Linked DNA regions of Drosophila melanogaster. The protein of the gene in region 3 interacts with the protein of the main gene of each other region in a pairwise test. Each region holds a gene or a part of one and is shown on either strand. Other genes may lie near its edges. The genes, in order: CG4686, Vti1b, Tspo and CG9628.

Region 1 (4,805 bases), on a different chromosome or scaffold from region 3:
TATTAACAACCCAATGCTCTCATCAACATATTTATGCATTCAAAACTCACACCAAATTATTCATGATTAATTTTAAAAACAAAGGCTTAAATTTGGTCTCCAAATTGTACTGAATAGTTTAAGTACGCATTTCCTAGTGCTTGTAATGAGTAAGGTGATCAATCATCATGTACAGCCACTTGGGCTGATCGTGAGGAGCCATGTGCCCGGCATTGCGGACCATGATCTCCACAAGATGTCCGGCGTGCTTGACATAGCCGGCCACTTCCTTCCCAACGCGCCACACTTCGCGGGGAGCCACCTTGTACTTGTCCGAGCCGGGGAACTTTAGTTGGTTGAGATAATTGCGCGTCAGTGGATAGGCAACAATAATGTCTAGCTGCCCGCTGTAGATGCACACAGTATAGTGGGCCAGCAGTTCGGCTATCCACGGGGCCACCGAGTCCATGATATCCTTCTTCAAGTGAAGTTCCACCTTGTTCTCCTTGTCCAGATCATGGAATGTCTTATTGCCCACATGAATTGCCCGCCGAGTGGCGCCCGCCTGCAGAAATTCGCCCAAGTTGGCGCCATCATCATCATGCGTCTTCAAGTAGTTGTAGTACCAGTTGTATCCAGTAAGGTTGCTGAACAGTGAGCCATTGGTAAGGTCCCCGTTGATTAGGGAATCAAATACGTCGAAGGCGCACTCCATGTCGTGACTCTTAATGCATTCAGCACCCTTTGCCTCGGCATCGTGGAAACTCTGCAGTCCGTGCTCGTCGATCAGGCCCAGCTGGTAGAGATAGTCACCGTACTTCAGCTGATGCAGCGGATCCGAGAGACCATTTCCGATGGCCACGCCCTTGAGCGGCACATAGACGCGGGTCTCTATGGCATTTTGTACCTTGTGGATGTGGTAAGCCAGGGCGGGAACGTATTTTCCGGCATAGGACTCGCCGGTGACCCAGAAACCAGAGGAGTTGCTCCACTCGAAGAGTTCGTACAGCTGCATCACAGCCTCGTGCAGATTGCGGCCCACATCCTTCTCGTTCGTAGCATAGCCGGCATCGTTCTCTGTAAAACTAAAGCCAGTGCCCACGGGATTGTCAATGTAGATGAGATTGTGTGTCTTGCTCCAGGTATAGTTGCGTTTCTGAAGCTTCCCATGACCATCCAACTCTAGTGGTCCATTCTCTGTGAACAAACCGAAGAGCGAGGAGGCACCTGGTCCACCCTGAAGCCACAGGACCACTGGCGCATATTCCGGCTCCTGCTCGGCGGGGAAGTACCAGAAGAACATGTTGGATTTGAAGCCAGGGTCCACGGTCAAATAGCCGGAGTAGCTCTCAACGCCATGGAACTGGGAGCCTACGACGCGGGCCAGCTTTTGAACCTCTTGCTTGCTCATCGAAGCATTGTTGATCAGGGGCGTCAGGAACAGGGGCTCCCCGGGATCGACACCATCGTCAAAGAACTGGTAGCGTGGATACGGATTGATGAAGCTCCGCCTGTAGGGGCGTTCCCCCTCTACTCCTTTTGCTCCGCTTATTGCGACTATAGTCGCGATAATTAAAAATGCGCAATGAGTTGCAGTTTTCATTGTTCAACTGCGCTGATTCGACTGAAAAGCGATCGAATTGTCAGTGGTTGCTTTGCTTATTCAGCTTATGTATATGTATTCTTATATTCTTATTATCGCCCCGACCTGCTCACGAATCGGCCGATAAGGGGTTTAAATCAGTTCTCTCACTTGCCTTGCTTTTATTCGCACAGCCGGCGAAAAAATTTAGCTTTCCCAATTGAGCAGCACTGATATTTCAGTGTATCCGCACCGGTCAAACGGTAGGGTTGTCAAGTGAAGCGAATTTATCAGCTGTGATTTTTTACTAAGAGCGACTTCTGAGTTATGGATTGCAAGTAGTTCTTTTGTCGGAATTATTAAAAATAATCATCAACTAACTCTATATTGGTTTAGTTTTTCGCAAATAAATGAAAGCTTGAATTTGAAAGGTTTAACCAGGGATATAAAAGTCTCCAAAGTACCTATATATGTTCTGTTTTGTTGCTTATATCACCATTTCTTCTCACTTCAAATGGTAAGAAATTCTCGTTCCCGAGGCATTCATATTTCTAGAATCCAAACAATTGGCAACATCGAATACAACGGCAGTCCGGCAAGGCCAGGGCATTTTGCGTCAAAATTTGTAGTAGCGCCGCAGCTGATTTTCCATCGCCAAACAAAGTTTGAGCAAACAATACACAATGTCAGTCGCTGACACCATTGAATACGTGACCCTGGGCAATCCTGTCAGCAAGATGGTAGCCTCGTCCGCATCCGCCCTGCTCCGCACGCTTGTAACTAATCGACTTTTCCTAGACAATGTTCCGGATTTATAATTCTTAACTGTCTTCCTGCAGGGTCTGCGTCCCAAGAAGGTGCCGGTGCAGGAGACGAGTATGGCGGTGCTCCCTGCCGCCCACAGCTACGCGCATTCACACGGATCACTCTATCGACTGGCCGGCTGCCATTACCACTTCATTCGGCTGGCCGGGATCGTCGGCGCGTCGGCCATCTTTATGGGCGCCTACTGCAAGTACGTCCTGAAGGACGTCAGCGATCCCAAGGAGCAGGTGGACTCGCAGGCCTTTGCTGATGTGGCCAATCGCATCCACTTTCTGCACTCCTTTGCCATGATGGCCATGCCTCTGGCCCACTATCCCGTATTCGTAAGTTTAAATGGAAAAAGTCAAAATTTGTATTTCGTTGAAGATGTGCCTGGTTAAGTCCTACCTCCGCCAGGCCCATCCTCTGTACTGACCCCAAGGAAACCATTTATCATAATTGATCTCGGTCGTGTATTTGGTTTATTTGTAAAGCTTTCTTTGTTGGTTTGTCATTTACATAAACTCTGTGTAAAGTTAGATCTCTGAACGGAATTTATAACAACTCGCGTTACTCTCGAATCGAAACTCCAACATTGATACTCGAATAATTGACTCTCTGCTTAGCTAGTCTAATGCGCTGATTGACATTACAAAATTGAGCTATGAATGAATATTGATTTGAGCCAAGCGCTTTCTCCAAGTTACTTCTTTATAATATAGGTATGCATATGTATATTTATGTTGTATATGAAATGTTTCCAAAGCTAAAGCTAAATGTTCAACAACCACTAATTGCAGCTTACAAAGTAATTTTCAATACCACACACGATACTTGTATAATAATTGCGTTAATTCGGATAACTCTTAGGTTTGTGATATGAGCAGGTTCATAGCTGATATGGGTTCGGGGTTTTGGGTAGGAATTTGTTGATTTACTCTCTTCATAATTACAATCGTATGTTAAAAATGTACCAAAAAGGCATAGATTTTCTCGTTTTTGCTGTTATCTTGTAATTGGTATTTGTTGTCATCAGCCTTATTTAATAAGTAAAATCTGGGCTTTATCGAGCTCCGTTTTGTCGACGTTTTAAAGCTAACAACTAAAGCTAACACCAAATATGCACTCAAAACGCTGGCCATCTTCGCAAACTTCTACTCCTAGACTATAAACTATAGGGCCTGTTCCGTTTTAGAGTTTTCTGATTAAGAAATGTAAATGCATTTAGATAACAATGTGACTTAAATTTTGGGTAAACTATTTGCAATTTGGAATTTCTTACATATGTATATCTTGATTCCTGACTAAACATTTAAATGCTATAAATTCTTTGCATCCTAAAATCGTTTAATTACAATAGTCGTGCTTAGCTTTTCATATAGATTTCGAGAACAGTGGGGCTTGGAACAGGCCCAAATGACTGTGGTTACTTAAAGTAATTGGTTTATTTCCTCCCGCAGACTGGCACTTTGATGATTACGGGCATGATGCTTTTCAGCGGCTGCATGTACTACCGCGCTTTGACTGGCGAGAAGCGTCTGCAACCGTACGCGACCGTCGGAGGATTCTGCCTGATGGCCGCGTGGCTGTCGCTGGTCCTGTAGGATGCGCGGGGCAGGCCACCTATCTATATTCCATGTAGCACATGCTGAACTGCAATTTAGTGCAGAGGCAAATAAAGCTAAGCCAACTCTAACATACAACATCATCTAACATAATACAACATCAACTAAATATGAGTTACTATATCCGCTTTTAGCCATTATTTACAATAATTATAGTGAGGGCTTTGCAGCTAATGGAAGATACTTTTGAGTTAAATGCGTACAATCTCTTAGTGTATATAGCAGGCTAATGTAAGTCGCTAAATCGTTATAATGAAATAAAACAAATAAAAACGTTTTAACAAAAGAACCAACCGAGCTGTTACATTTATTGTATACCTGTACATTAATAAATTACTATAAAAACACTCATATATTTATACTAGGCGTAACATTTCATAGAATTCTCTTTTAGTTTTTTCTTTTTTTGGGGCTTTTCATTGGGTTTTTTTTTTCTTTAAGGTTGTTATTGTCGTTTTACTGGAACACATAATACAAATGCAATGCGACCTTTTGAAGGCCAATGCACAAAGTTCAGCTAAAATTAATTATTGCACAATTTGCAGTTTATATCAATCTTTCTTTTTTTTAAGGTACAAAAACATTTAGTCCCTACGCTCCTCTAACATCAGCTTATTGTCTTGCTGTTTGATTTCTCATCAGTTTCCTAGTTTTATACACCTGACTAACTATTATTTTGATTTGTACACGTCTTGTAAAAAGTTTCTCAGCGGCAGCTCAGTGGGGATGTCTGCTGGCGCCGCTGATGGCTTGCTATCCTAACAACTTCTGCTTGGAGGCCTCCGCAAAGAGGAAGGTCTTCTGAATGCCCGCAT
Region 2 (2,722 bases), on a different chromosome or scaffold from region 3:
TCTCCTGCGGCTTCGATCGCCGCGTTTTCGGCTGGTCCATCGTTCTTCCGAAGGACAATTGAAGGCAACTGAAGCGGAGAGCTGCTGCACCAAAGGAATGAGGAGGCGCAGCTCTGCGAAATCCCAAACATCTCTCGAACAAAGAAGCATCCCCAAAGCGATGCCCACATACTTACATATATGTAACCGTTTATCATAGATCAAGTATTATGCAGACATTGTTCAGGATGTTCTACTATCTCGTTGTCGCCCACTGAATGTAATTAACGTTGCTTTTTGCCAAATAGTCGTGGCATAGCGTGCTGCACGAACTACATATTATCATTGTTATAGCATACGTATGTATATGCGTTGGGACTGGGCTAAACTCTTCGGAGTGCAGAGCTTCCGATGTCCAGACCCGATTTTATCTGTGTTTTACTACCATAATACATATTATAGACGTCTAAGGCATTAACGCTTTAGCCAACATGAATAAACATAATCAACCACCCGATTCATCGCTGGGTATATCCTAAAACTGACCTTTTTGAATTGGAAGTGCATTTTAGTGGAGTATATACATTTATAAGCTTATTAACTAGGACAAAGAATTCGTAACGATTAATAGGTATATATAGTCCATCGCCTGTTTGGTGGTTACGACTTTGGAATAGAATGGCATTGGCTCACAGGTGAGCGAACTTCAGCACCAGCAAGCCGACGAGTATGCCCACCTCCAGAATGATAATCAGGATTAGGATGATCTTGTTGTAGAGCACCTCCCTGCTCAACTTCCGAATGATGACCCTCGATTTGGACAGATCCTGATCGGCGTCCTCCAGGCGGCGCGTGGTGCGTAGCAGCGACTCCCTCTGCTCGCCCAGTTCGCCGAGTACCTGTTGATGCGTAAGCGAGCATTAGTTAGCCCTGTTAATGGCTACTATCTGGGTAATTACCTCCGCCCCCATGTTCTCCGTTTCGATGGCAATCTGGTTGGATCGCTGGATACTGTCCGTCGTCCGCTGTAGCACGTCGTAGGTGCTGGCCGCGAGCTGCGCCTGCCTGCGCTCCTGGTCGCTGCCGCTGGGCAGCTGGCTATAGCCGGCGTAGGACATAATTTGGTAACAGCTTTTAATAAATTAAATGCGATGCAGTGGGAATATCAAAACAAAACAAAGGCAGAGTGTGGCCGTGGTGAGCGGTGCAGTGAAAACGCTATTTGGTAAGGTACTAACGCGTTGTGCGTGGAGCCACCTGTTAACACTTTATGCACTTTACAGCACTTAAAACAGTTGAAATTTAAAATGAAACTGTTACCAAATTAGCTTAATATTATTTTATATTCTAAATTCTAATTAAAAGTTTAAATTGTAAGAAGTGTTAGTTCAATTGGTTTTTTTTTGAGATTGGCTTCCTCACTATCAACAAGCACATCTAGTTACTGCAAAAATATCACATATTAATGGTGATTAATTGGGTGATCCTAAGAGTGATTAGGTTTTTGGAAACTGACCATTTTTTTGGTAGACACATGTAGCACTCGAGGATTTTGACTTTAGTACGGGTATTTGTCGATTTCTGATTTGCGATAACGGTCACCGATCATACATAGTTGGCATGCCCGCGCCGAGAGAGCCGCCTGAATTCACAGGGTGTGTGTGCTGAGTAACAGAGAGTGCGAGGCATTTCGAGGCGATCGCGAGATTTTCGAACCGAAGTCGCGGCAGCGAGTGCCAAATTTAAACGCAGTCGATCGCTGGCGGTGAGCAGACGTGTGCTGCGCTCCATTCAGATTCAGATTCGAATAAAGATACTCTCGCTCGGCAACAAACAAGTTCTAAATTTATCGCTCGCACTCGCGGGGAATCGAATCTGGTGTGTCTTTGACATAAAAAGCGTTTTCGGAGCTGTGAAGGTAAGCGAAAAACTCGAAAAAACTCGAAGCAACTGGAAAAACCCGGCGGGTTCGAGGTGTAAAAGCTGTGCCACGGGTTATCCACCCGTATATATCCCATATCCCCTGTAAACTAGCCATCCAAAGCACGTGCTTTGGCAGCAGGGAGTATGTGCAATTAAGCCCAATTTGAATGCACTTTGGCACGTGATGCTGGCTGCTGACAGCTACTGGTCGGAAAAGTGAGCTTACTGGGGGCTGCGGGGCACACCTGTCATGGGACCCATTGTGCAAACACCTGCCAGAAGTCGCAGCTAAAGTCAGAGCGGCAGATACGCGTAGCGCTATCTCTTTCGTAAGCCCCGAGTATCTCTGAGATACTCAGGTACGCACCTACTACGTTCGCAGTGTGTGTGTGTGTTAGTCGAACCCTTGTCATGTGAATATAATACTCTCCAGAGTATCTGTGAGTCGCGCTCTCTTTGCAAAGTCGCGAGTTTTCGAGTTTTATGCAATCATCATAATCATATGGGGGGGTTCTATCATGTGATCTTTTTCTCGGGGTCTCGGTTTCCAGAAGCCTTGCGTCCCCACAAAGATCTCCAGCTGGAACGGAAACCCTAAAAGCTGGGCTCGAGTAGTTGCGAATAGCGCACAATAAATACCAGTCGATTATGATTTATGGATCGCTCTATAAATTGTCCAATGGCACTTCCAATCGATCAATCAGTATTGCGCTGATTAGCCACAGTCGCAGACCCAGTTTATGAATGGGGAAAATCTGATCGATTCTAGAAATCTAGCAATTTCACATCTGAAGTATAGTATTTTGCCGAGTTGCACACA
Region 3 (3,108 bases):
TGCTTCTCCAAAAGCATCCCCCAACCAGACGAATCCACAACAACAGCAGGGAAAAGCAGCTAACAAAGCGTCTCCTCCAAAGCAAACTGGACCAACTGGGGGGCAGCAGAAGTCGGCGGCGAACGCCTCGAAGGCCACAGCCTCCCCGAAATCGGCTGCATCCCCAAAAGCCACCTCCCCGAAGGCCGGAACTCCTACCAATCCTGCTTCCGCCTCTGGGGGTCCCAACTGATCCTCCTTCAGTCTATTTTCTAATCGGCGCCCTTGCATTTCAAACTCACTCGCATTTTCAGAGCCCATTTTCGCCTTCGTTAATCTCTGATGAACCCGGGTACTAACCGTTTTTTGATTATTTGTGGCCTTTACATTTTTGAATAAAATTATGATTTAACAAAGACTGAAGTGAATCGAGAAATTCTTTCTCAATATCTTTGGTTATTCCATTGCAATGTCACAACAAATTGTAGCCTATTAATCGTTCTCGAGAATAGCATTGAAAATTACGATTCTTTAATTTATTATTAACACATAACACATAGGGAATTTTTGAACGTGCAGCAGCATATGATACTTTGAATTTAGCGCCCCATTGGAGGCACTGCTTATCGATATTTTATCCAACTTTGCCCAGCCCTGGTTCGATAGGTCGGAAAGCCCTGCAATTTGCATGAAAGACACCCAAAATTACTTGTTTTTCGTTTATCCTGGGCTTAACTCGACTTAGCGTGGCTGCTAGAGGGCTTCTCCTCGTCCTTGGGCGCCTGCTCCTTCTCCGGGTTCAGCTTCCAGATGGCGTAGTTCAGAGCCGTCGCGAATCCCAGCCAGGCGACGTAGGGTACGAAGAGCAATCCAGCGGTCTTGTTCACTCGGTAGAACAGAACGCCGCAGGCGGACGCGGCGGCCGTGAGTGCAACTATGTCAATAAGGCCCTGGTGGATGAAGCGGATTAGACATAACACCTGGGCTTGGTGATATCAGCAGTACTCACGCCCTTGATGTTGTGCTGCCCGAAGAAAATGGGCGTCCACGCCCAGTTCAAGGCCAGCTGGGTGCCGTACGCGATCAGGGGCAGTTTGGCCGCCTCGCCGGCGAAGCCTCCGCCATCACGCCACACCAGGTAGGAGCCGTAGCCCATTCCCGCGTACAAGGAGATCCACATCGGCGCAAAGACCGAGTTGGGCGGCTTGAAGGACGGGAACTTAAGGTTGGCGTACCAGCTCTGGAGATGCTGCCTGGTCAGCCGCCCGTTATAGATGCCGCCCAGATTGGGCAGAATCACGGCCCCGGCGATGCGGAGAATGTTTCCAGCACACGGACGATCAGCCATTTTCAGAGTTCGCACTGCAAATGAGGCGCAGTAGTGGCGAACCTTCTGGTTTCACTGTTTTGTTTGCCGGTGATTTCATTCGAATGCACGAGTATTGCGAGTTAACGGGGCGAATACGCGACGGATGATTGTGTGGGTAAGCTCCAGCGATGCCAATTTGGCTAGATTTAAACTAGCTAAAGTATGTGGAATGCAACTTGAAATCAAAGACGCTAGAATTAATTAATAGAATCGCATGGTTATTTAGAGCTGTGAACATTTGATTTCTGCCATGAAGGAATTCTCATGTTTTTCTTTAACATGCTATCTGATTAATAGGGATTTAATATTTATCTGGAATTTTGGCAAAGCTGCAAAGTCATTGCTAAGCCGTTAATAGCTGGTTGTCACATGTGCAGGGGAGGAGCATAATGCTTATCAATAGATTCCAAAATGATGTAATGAATGAGTAATGTCGTCGATCTATGGAAGTAATTATTATAATTATATCTACCCATTCGTATTTATTTAAAATTATCTTCGCTGCTGGGTGTCGGAATCACCCTGTGGGTAGGCAGATTTAACAAAACCCGTTAAGTTTTGAAAATAGAAATAGAACTGTATTGTTGGGAAGTACCATATTAAATTCCCTGGAAAAGTTTTGTTTAGCTTGTTTGTTTGTTTTACCCCATGACAAATCGTGCGATCAAGTGGTGAATGATAACTTGAGAACTCATAAACCAAAGAGTTATTTGTCGGTAAAGTGAATTAATGGTGAAATAAAACTATTGTGCTTATTTGCTCTTTGCAATATCCAATAACCTGGATCAAGTTGGTATCTCAATTAATCAATTGCTTAGGAGCAACCATGACAACCGTTGCTAGGCAAACACATTGTTACTGTGTTTTGGCTCCTGCCAAAACAAATTCATCCACTAAAGGTGGAAAACCGGTGTGATGACTCTCTACTTTGACACGAAAATCGAGTTCTTGGACTCGGATGCAGTGAGCACCATCAGCAGCTGGCATCCCAGTGAGCCGCTCTTCGCAGTGGCCTCTTTTAGTCCCGAAAGAGGCGGTTCAGTGACCATCTTTGCAGATACCGTCAGTATTAATCGCTTTGGTCGCAGACCCTGCCAAAAATCGGAATGTATATAATCTATATAATCAAATTGCAGGGTGAGCCCCAGCGAGATGTAACTTATCCGGTGCACGCCACTTCGCAAGCGACGGCACTATGCTGGCATCCGGAGAAGGCGCTCCTGGCCAGCGGTTGGGAGCACGGCGACATCCATGTGTGGTTCGCTGGTCACAGGGAGTTTGCCAGCGTGAACGCACCGCACAAGGCGGCCATCGTCCTGCTGCAGTTCAGCGAGCAGGGCGGGCGGATGGTCACGGCGGATGCCATGGGCTTGGTCACCGGATGGCGCTGCGATGGCCAGTACCAGTTCCTAACCATGTTCTCCCACGACCTGCGGGAGGTGTTGCTGCTGATCTGCTTCCGCCTTACGGTGGAGAGTGAGGTGCGCGAGGAGATGGCCAATCTAGCCAAGGCTGCTGTGGCAGGCGATGAGAACGCCCTGGACACCCTAACCAATTGGAGACCGCGCACAGCAGCCCGGAGCATGACCCATTCGGGGGTGCGGGACAACCACTGCTTCTACGCTTGCACCCAAGGAGGAGTGGTGTACTACATCAACCAAGGAGGCGCCTGTGTCGAGGTGATGAAGTGCGGATCACTGCCTCCCATTGTCCAGATGTTGTGGCACCCAAGAAAGTAAAGAGCTGTTGAGATCGAAAGG
Region 4 (7,749 bases), on a different chromosome or scaffold from region 3:
GGAATCGTTATCGAACTTGAAGAAGGAAGGATCCGACTCCAGAGTTTTGCAAAAGGATACAAAACCAGAAACCAGAAACCATCAAAAAACAGATGTCAGCAAAAATGTGGTGCAGTGGCTCAATCCGTATTATAAACGAAAAATAGCCACCAAAGAGCTTTTCAAAGCTTTGGCAAAATTGCTCACTCAGCGCATTTGTGATGGAAGCTTAGGTAAGATATTCATACTTCCTGTCTGTTAATACCTTTAAAATGGACCATAAATCTCTAGGAGATGGCGATGCTGGAAAGTGCTATATAAAGGAAACTTTTCATGGCCTGCAGATGATAAACAACGATCAGGACATTGAAAAATATTTCATAAAATCCAAGTGACTAAAAATCTCCTAATGATTTTATCACGACATATTGTTTCGCCTCGTTAAAAGTTGCATCATCTTTTTTTTTCGTTAGTTACTATTTTTGTATATAATAAGCGCATTAATTATCAATAATACATTTAAATAAGACGTTTTTATTTGGACAGTTTTAATAGAAAAACTATTAATTTGGGATATTATTCGCTCGTACAAAATTTATTTGCGTTGAATCTTATTTATTAATTGAATTAGATATAACATTCGTGATGCTCGATGTATTAAGCTTATAAAAAAAACAAAACAGGGCAGCCGATTAAGAACTTTAAACCTCCTCGGACGTCGATTTTGTACATTTTCGATTCGATGATGGCAATTTGTTTTCTTGTGGGATTACAATTAGCTGGGAGACGGGTATGTGAACGGGGCTCTTACTTCTAAGCTGGAGCTATAAATATTACAGTCCACGCTAGGCGAGAATCGAATGTATATCTCTTTCTCGCCAAACTTCACGGGATCGACCATGTCATTCTAGATCACCGTGGACACCTAAACGCAGGGTGATGAGTATGTCCAGCAAGAAGACCAGCGAGGTAACCAAGGCAATCGAGGCGGAAGCCATCACGAGATCCAAACGATGCATATTCGGGTGCCAGTAGTTGCGATCCTTGGTGGTGGACCAATCCCGGAAAAGCAGGGCGGTTACGGCCACGAAGAGCACAAAGGCCACTAGATTCCACAAAGTAGCCGTACGCCATGGAGTCCTATGTGTACATTAAATATATCAGTACTAGCATTTTAATTAAATCAAACTTTAAGCATACAAATCACCGAAGAGCGCCATTATCAGATAGATTGCCGTGTAGATGGTCAGTGCTCCAAAGGTCACATAGCAAAGGGAAGCCACTCGGGGAGTGATGAACACCCGCAGATGAGAATTGGTGGCCGGCTCGTCGATCAGACCCAAACAGCATATAAGCAGGCACTATGGGAAACGACGAATAGTTTTCATAAATTATTTGTGTTTTTAATCATTTTTTTTAACAATTTAGGCATTACTGGGAAGCCGTCTCAAAATGCTGAATCTTTATAAAATGTAATTGGACACCATGAAACTAGTTTCTTATCTGATTTTTAAAAGTTATTCAAAAGATTTCCATTTAAAGGAGTATTTAAATTTAACAAAAACTCACCAGTTCCACAATCTTGATGCATATCACCGTGTAGGTGGCCTTTTTGTTTCCATGAGTTGTGGCAAAGGAATTATCGTCAGCCGGCGACATTTCGACGCGTGAGATTTCTGCACCGAGCAATTAAACAATTAATTAATTAAAGAACACTATACTATATCAATTGGTATTTTGGCCACTTTGACATTTGCTCGGAGCGAGGAAAGAATGACAATAAAACTTATTGTATATGTACCTATCGATCGCAAGTAGCTCATTTTGCAGAGTCTGATTTGGATACGTTTTCGACCTACAGAGGAAACGGAATCTTCAATTTTGGCTTTTTAGTGTTCAGTTAAAGTCGGGTTTAGTGGCCATTTTTGGCCTCCATGTCTGGGTTATCGGATATTTGTTATTGGATGGTCAGTGGAGCGTGCAAACGAGTAAAACCGAACAATCTACGTTCTGTTGTGGATTTGTGTCAATTGATGGCCGAAGGTCTTCCTCTCCCACATGAAATACATCCAGTTGCAGACCGAATTGATTAAGGGCACATTCTGCGATGATCTCATATATTGGGTGTGTGGGACTTTTGGGTGGGGTATATATCTATGTATCTATGAACATATGGGGCTATATTCGACAGCGAGGTGCCGAGATGCATACCAAATTCAACCTGGGAATGCGAGCAGCCTACGTGAGTTTGCATCAAAAAGTCGTATGAATAATAAATCCAACTATAATCGCTGTCTTGTGAACCGTCATCTATAATTCCATTATTTTCAATCATTAATTGCATACCGACAATGAAGCTACTGTCGCTCAATTGTCACCTCTTTTGGACACAATTCAACACCTGTTTTGATATATAGTTCTTTATTCTGATTCTACACTAAAAAATAAGTGTATCGAACCGGAAAGTAACCAATTTCTGTATATCAAGAGAGAATTTTTCCAAAAAAAAGTTTAAACGAATGCCACTCATAATTTAGAAGTTCTCTATTATTGGATTCTTTAATATCAAATATTTGCATACTATTGAAATTTACTTGGAATTCAGCTTAAATGATTTTCTGGGTTATCATAACCGGTAACTCGTTTTTGCCGTGTATAAAGTGGGGAATTGGATCTCCACTTCATGGGCAACAATGGTCCCCCCATTGATTGAAGCTAATTGCATCACATAAAGAACAAAGCATAAAATCCCAATATTAGCCAAAGGCACGTTCAGCAAAAGTGAAGGGGCGGACAAAGAGTAGGGAACTGTGCTAGTTAACCCCACGATGCGTAACCCCATAAACAACAATTAAAATGTGAGGGGGGGGCGGGGAACCAGAAAAAATAAGTCAAACTCGAAATGAAACTGGAAACTCAACACAAACCCTAAAAAAGGGCCACGCACAACTTTCACTGCGTTCGGGGAGGGGGAAAATGTGAAAGGGAGTGAGATGGGAAAGAGCTGTAGAGAAAAATGGAGGGAAAATGATAAAAATGGGCCCAAGACACTCCCTATTTACAAAACGAGGGCTCGGAGCTAATAAACATTTTAGTGTCTAGGTTCTGGTTGCAAAGGTAAACAGCAAATGGGTAAAGAAAACTACCACTATTGAAAGCAGTGGAATGTAGTTAGCTTTTTGTATTAATCTATTTGAATCCAAAGTGATAATTTCATATACTAACAGTAACTCTCCACATCAAACCAAATATATAAAAGTTTAGGTTTATATCAAAAAGTTTTAAACTTTAGTTGTTCACTTTATTGTAAAACAGAATTGTATATATAAACATATATAATAGATTTCTTTTAAGCCAATTCTCTACCCGTTAAATCTCCCCACTAATTTTCGAGTATGTGGCTCTCCAAGATGGGAATTTCAGTGAATAACTGCTTGCGTGTTGTTGCTAACGAGTGCTTCACGTTTTGGCCCACACTCGAACACCCCCCGCAGCACCCCTTTGAACCAAAAAAAATAAACAAGTTTTCTTTGGCGGCGCTTAGAAGAAAGCCCAAAAAGCAGAAACCAAACAAAACACACGCAACAAGCCACGAAGCTGAAAAAAAGGTAAACAAAACGTATTGGCTAAGAAAACTTGTTTTAGAAAAAAGAGCATTTGGCTTAAAGAGAGGATCTAAGAGTTCGACTACCTGCCACACCTGCGTATTTTAAAGGGGATATTTTCTCTCGAAAGGTAGGCATAATTTAGTGGCCAGCACTGTGAATTAACCTCGTTTCGCTTTCAGGCTCAAAAGGGACTGTTTCACACTAAGCAGCCCTATAACTGGTCTGAGTTTTGGGTCAATGACTCGATTCTCCGTTTTTGTTTTGGTTCTTCGATTCTATCCAAAGAATTTGTTTAAGCCATTCCCATCTTAACTTGGGTTTATATCTCTCATTTCCGGACAACCAGAGATCCAAAGAGCTACATCATCTGTACTATCTGTATTTCTCAGCTTTCAATCGCAGTCTTGGGCAATTGAAAAATGCAACAAAACTTGTTTGCTTACCGCCCCCTTTTTTGCCCCCCGCGCGTGTCTTAACCCTCACCCATCACTTGCATTGATATGCACAACTGCAAACTGGTTGCAGGCGAGAGCGACAGGGACGGACGATGGGGGAGTGAGAGGGCAGAACCACCTGAAACACAAATACATATATGCAAAAGGCGCCTACTGTACTTGGTCATCGCCATAGTTTTTACTGCCCGCGAAGGGCAGTTCGCGATTTTCCAGCTGCATTTTCCAAACACGGTCAATACCCATAGAGGGTATGTATATATTGTACCAAGAGGAATCATTTTCGCGTTTAACTTTTACATATAACCAATTATTTTTTTTTTAATTAAACTAAGATGTGTCCTCAATCAATCAGAAAGCGTTTAAAAAAAATCTATAATGTAAAATTTTGTATTTATTTTATTTTATGGTTTTAGAGAGTAATATCCTTACGTTTTGTTGACAATATTTTTGTTATCACTTTACTTAATACTGTTGTAAACAAAAAGTAATGGCAAGCCATAAATCTTATGAATGGGAATTTTGAAGCCTTACAACTTGAAAAGCAATGTTCATGGCGGCATTTTTGCAAATTATTTAGATATTCCTACAATATCTATTGCTACTGCACTTGCCTTTGACCCCATTGAGACCCACACCACGTTTGGTATGGGGAAACATTTGGTTTGGGGCTAAAACATGCAACATTTTGCGATGTGGGCTTACGAGGGTGGTTGGTGCTTGGGGGAGTTTTCTAGGCGACTCCCTTAGGGGTTGTTGGTAAATTCAATGCCAAAGCAATTGGCCAAGGCTCGTCGGGATTTACCATGAGTGTACTGGCGTTACTGTCACTGTTATTGTTTCGTGTCGGGCCTGTCATTGAAGGTCAGTGCCCATAAATGATATTGGTATTGAATCGAAAGGGTTCAGTTAGCAAAAGGGAACGTGTAATTGAGTGCTAATATAAACAACAACTGGGTTCAGAGTTTTTGCCATATTGTTTACATATTGACAGATTTTGAACTAACAGCGTTCAAATATTTAATGTGTTTTCAAGAACGGTAAAGAAATTAAAAAGCTCATTAACTTAATAACTGCTCGTAAGTGCTCCAAGAATTCGTATACTTTAGTTGAGCACTACCTAATTGTTTTTTTACGCCAACGTAAGATATCTGTTTTTTCGCTTTATAAACCCCAGTATTTGTCACCTAATTAAAGCTGCATCAAAGGGAAGGGGCCGCATTGATGGTGAGAAAATTGTCAGTGAGTCACATTAAACAAACTAATTTGTGTTAGCCAGTGTAGTGTTGTGTGTAGATTGTGCAAAATTAGCATGTCTAACAATAACAACAAACTACTGCGATCGTCTTGCTGATGTAGTTATTGTTGTATCTGTGCTTGTTTACTGTACAATTAGCTCTGGGTGGGGCCCTCCGATCTCACAGACTCCATTCGTATGAGAAGATCTTTGGGGGAGAATCAAAACTTCAACGGAAGCTGAACAAATTTTACGTTTTCTTGTTTAGTGCATTTTCAACTTGTTTAAACATTAGTAACTGCCGAGCAAACGACAAACTAGTTTTAGTTTTTACTCAGAATTTCATTTTTGGGTTATTATATTACATTTTTCAAATTTTCGTTGAGTTGCAGATAGGTGCGGTACACAAGTGCAGCCAAATGATTTGGGTTAGCTGTTAAGTTATATCTCACACTAAATACACAGATAAATCAATGAATTCTTTCACGCGCGTTAAATAGTTTCAGTAGTTCAGTTTAAACTGCGACTCAGAGCGGAAATTGGTTTTTTAAAAACCGTCTTTCAAAAAACCTCTGAAACCGACGACACGCCAACGACAACTGTTGTAACCTGAACCCAAAACCGAATCCAAAGCCCGCCAAACGAGCTATTGAGCCACAGCCCAAAAATAAGAGAATATTTCCCAATGAGAATTATTCCCAAGACGTGTGTCAACGCTTGCTGAACAAATATTAAGTCATATTATGGCGGCTTAAAAATTAGCACATGCACGCCATGTATGCAAACAATTTAATCTCGAGTTTTGTTTGAAACTTAAATGCTCTATTAAATTTTGAAGTAAAATTGTGTCGTTGGTTTAAAAAAAAACATTTTAAAAACAAAGCCCAGCTTAGTGGGAAGCGACTGTTGAAAGCTTTTATGAAATTTCCCTGCTATAATAGTAAAGACGTCAACCGAAACCTAAAATCGGTACCATACAAATTTAAAAAAAAAAATAAAGATATTTAGGGTCATTTAGTGTGTGTTTAGTATTTGCCAAAGAAAACAAAAATAACTACAATAAAACATAGGTCTAAATAAGTCTCACCATTGTATGATGAAAAATGCATTTTTAAAATAAAAAGGCGAGAAAGCTAACCTCCTGTGCTATAATGGGTCTCAGAAAATAACTATTAAATGAAACTCAATAATTTATATTATAACATTTATCATTTGATTTCTGTTTAATGTAATTAATTTTCTTTAATTATTGTTTTCTTTTAACAAATATATTCACAGATGTAGAGATGAAATAAAGACAAAGGCAGTAAAAACACTTGAATAAATACAATTAAAGTTAAACTGTACATAATTAGAGTGACAAATTTTTGCGAAACTATGTACAGAAAATATGTAAAACTGTTAAAATCGTGAAAAACAAAACTTAAACACAGTCTTTCCGTTTACAGAACTCTCAAAAACAATTGCTGCTAGTTATTTGCTACGACTAAAAATAAATTTAAGAAGTAATTACAACAAAACATGACGTTTGTATATACATTCTAATCTACTTTACATCCAGTCAGCATAAATTTGTTAATTTATTTTAATTGGTTTAGCTCTTTTTTGATTGCTTCACAGGACTAGGCTGCTGATGCTGGCTCATCAGGGATAAAGGATATACATATATATGTATACAGATATGTGTAGAAACCTAAGCATATTTTACATTAATTTTACTTAATGGTTCAGTTCTTAGCTATTTTAGTTGTATTTGATACAAAACGCCTGAGGGTAGGCACTGTTTTTCGGATCAGTTTTCTAAAGCACCCATTATCAGAAAACCCGATCGCTGAGTCTTAGACTGAGTGGAGTTTTGGGTGCCAGCAGGAACTCGAACTCCGTTTCCAGTGGCTTCACAAAGCTCACATCAAAGGCTAGGACCATCTGATAAAGATAAATTTGGTTGTTTTAGTCAGTGATCCTAGAAATACGATCCCTGGGGCTTATGGATTATACTCACCTTAGCTAGCAGCAGCACCACCTCCATTTCCACAAAACGCTTTCCTGGACACGATCTTCGACCCACGCCGAAGGGCACCACAATACTGGCATTATCCACGTTCACCGTGAAATTCTCCGTGGCAGGATCAATCCAACGCTCTGGGGTAAACTGCTTGGCCCCTTGGAAGTTGCTATCCTTGTGGCAGGCTATCATATTCTGACATAGCACCACAGTCTAAAGATCGGAAACAAATTATTGATAGGAGAAACTAATATTTATTTCCAAAAATAAAATATAAAATAGTAAATTCCAAAAGCTTGGAAATAAAAGTGAGAGTGATCGAAAACTAAGCTTTAACTTACCCCTGCATTAAGCGAGTAGCCCGAGAGCTCCATGTCCTCCTCCAGGATTCTGGCCAGGCAAAAGGCTGTGGGCCTCAGTCTGTAGGACTCCTGTATACAGGCCTTTGTGTATGTGGCATTCGTTAGT

Evidence for each region.
Region 1: the proteins of Tspo (region 3) and CG4686 interact in a two-hybrid assay, tested with the Drosophila melanogaster proteins (one large-scale study listed by BioGRID).
Region 2: the proteins of Tspo (region 3) and Vti1b interact in a two-hybrid assay, tested with the Drosophila melanogaster proteins (one large-scale study listed by BioGRID).
Region 4: the proteins of Tspo (region 3) and CG9628 interact in a two-hybrid assay, tested with the Drosophila melanogaster proteins (one large-scale study listed by BioGRID).

The regions. Positions count from the first base shown.
Region 1 is NT_033777.3:19,862,589-19,867,393, forward strand, and holds CG4686 (uncharacterized protein), read left to right. Parts: upstream 1-1,907; 5' UTR 1,908-2,244; coding exon 2,245-2,337; intron 2,338-2,400; coding exon 2,401-2,709; intron 2,710-2,828; exon of another isoform or gene 2,829-3,825; coding exon 3,826-3,969; 3' UTR 3,970-4,281; downstream 4,282-4,805. Other genes in the region: CG4572 (uncharacterized protein), read right to left, coding at 134-1,582.
Region 2 is NT_033777.3:18,398,167-18,400,888, reverse strand, and holds Vti1b (vesicle transport through interaction with t-SNAREs 1b), read right to left. Parts: upstream 1,181-2,722; 5' UTR 1,098-1,180; coding exon 939-1,097; intron 879-938; coding exon 669-878; 3' UTR 550-668; downstream 1-549. Other genes in the region: Wdr37 (WD repeat domain 37), read left to right, coding at 1-62.
Region 3 is NT_033779.5:557,918-561,025, reverse strand, and holds Tspo (translocator protein), read right to left. Parts: upstream 1,415-3,108; 5' UTR 1,328-1,414; coding exon 989-1,327; exon of another isoform or gene 930-988; coding exon 711-929; 3' UTR 503-710; downstream 1-502. Other genes in the region: uncNacbeta (putative nascent polypeptide-associated complex beta subunit), read left to right, coding at 1-232; rempA (reduced mechanoreceptor potential A), read left to right, coding at 2,264-2,410, 2,485-3,083.
Region 4 is NT_037436.4:14,620,926-14,628,674, reverse strand, and holds CG9628 (uncharacterized protein), read right to left. Parts: upstream 5,880-7,749; 5' UTR 5,768-5,879; exon of another isoform or gene 5,642-5,767; intron 1,835-5,641; 5' UTR 1,803-1,834; coding exon 1,781-1,802; intron 1,656-1,780; coding exon 1,549-1,655; intron 1,341-1,548; coding exon 1,180-1,340; intron 1,120-1,179; coding exon 882-1,119; 3' UTR 501-881; downstream 1-500. Other genes in the region: RecQ5 helicase, read left to right, coding at 1-212, 271-374; shd (shade), read right to left, coding at 7,092-7,202, 7,279-7,494, 7,623-7,749.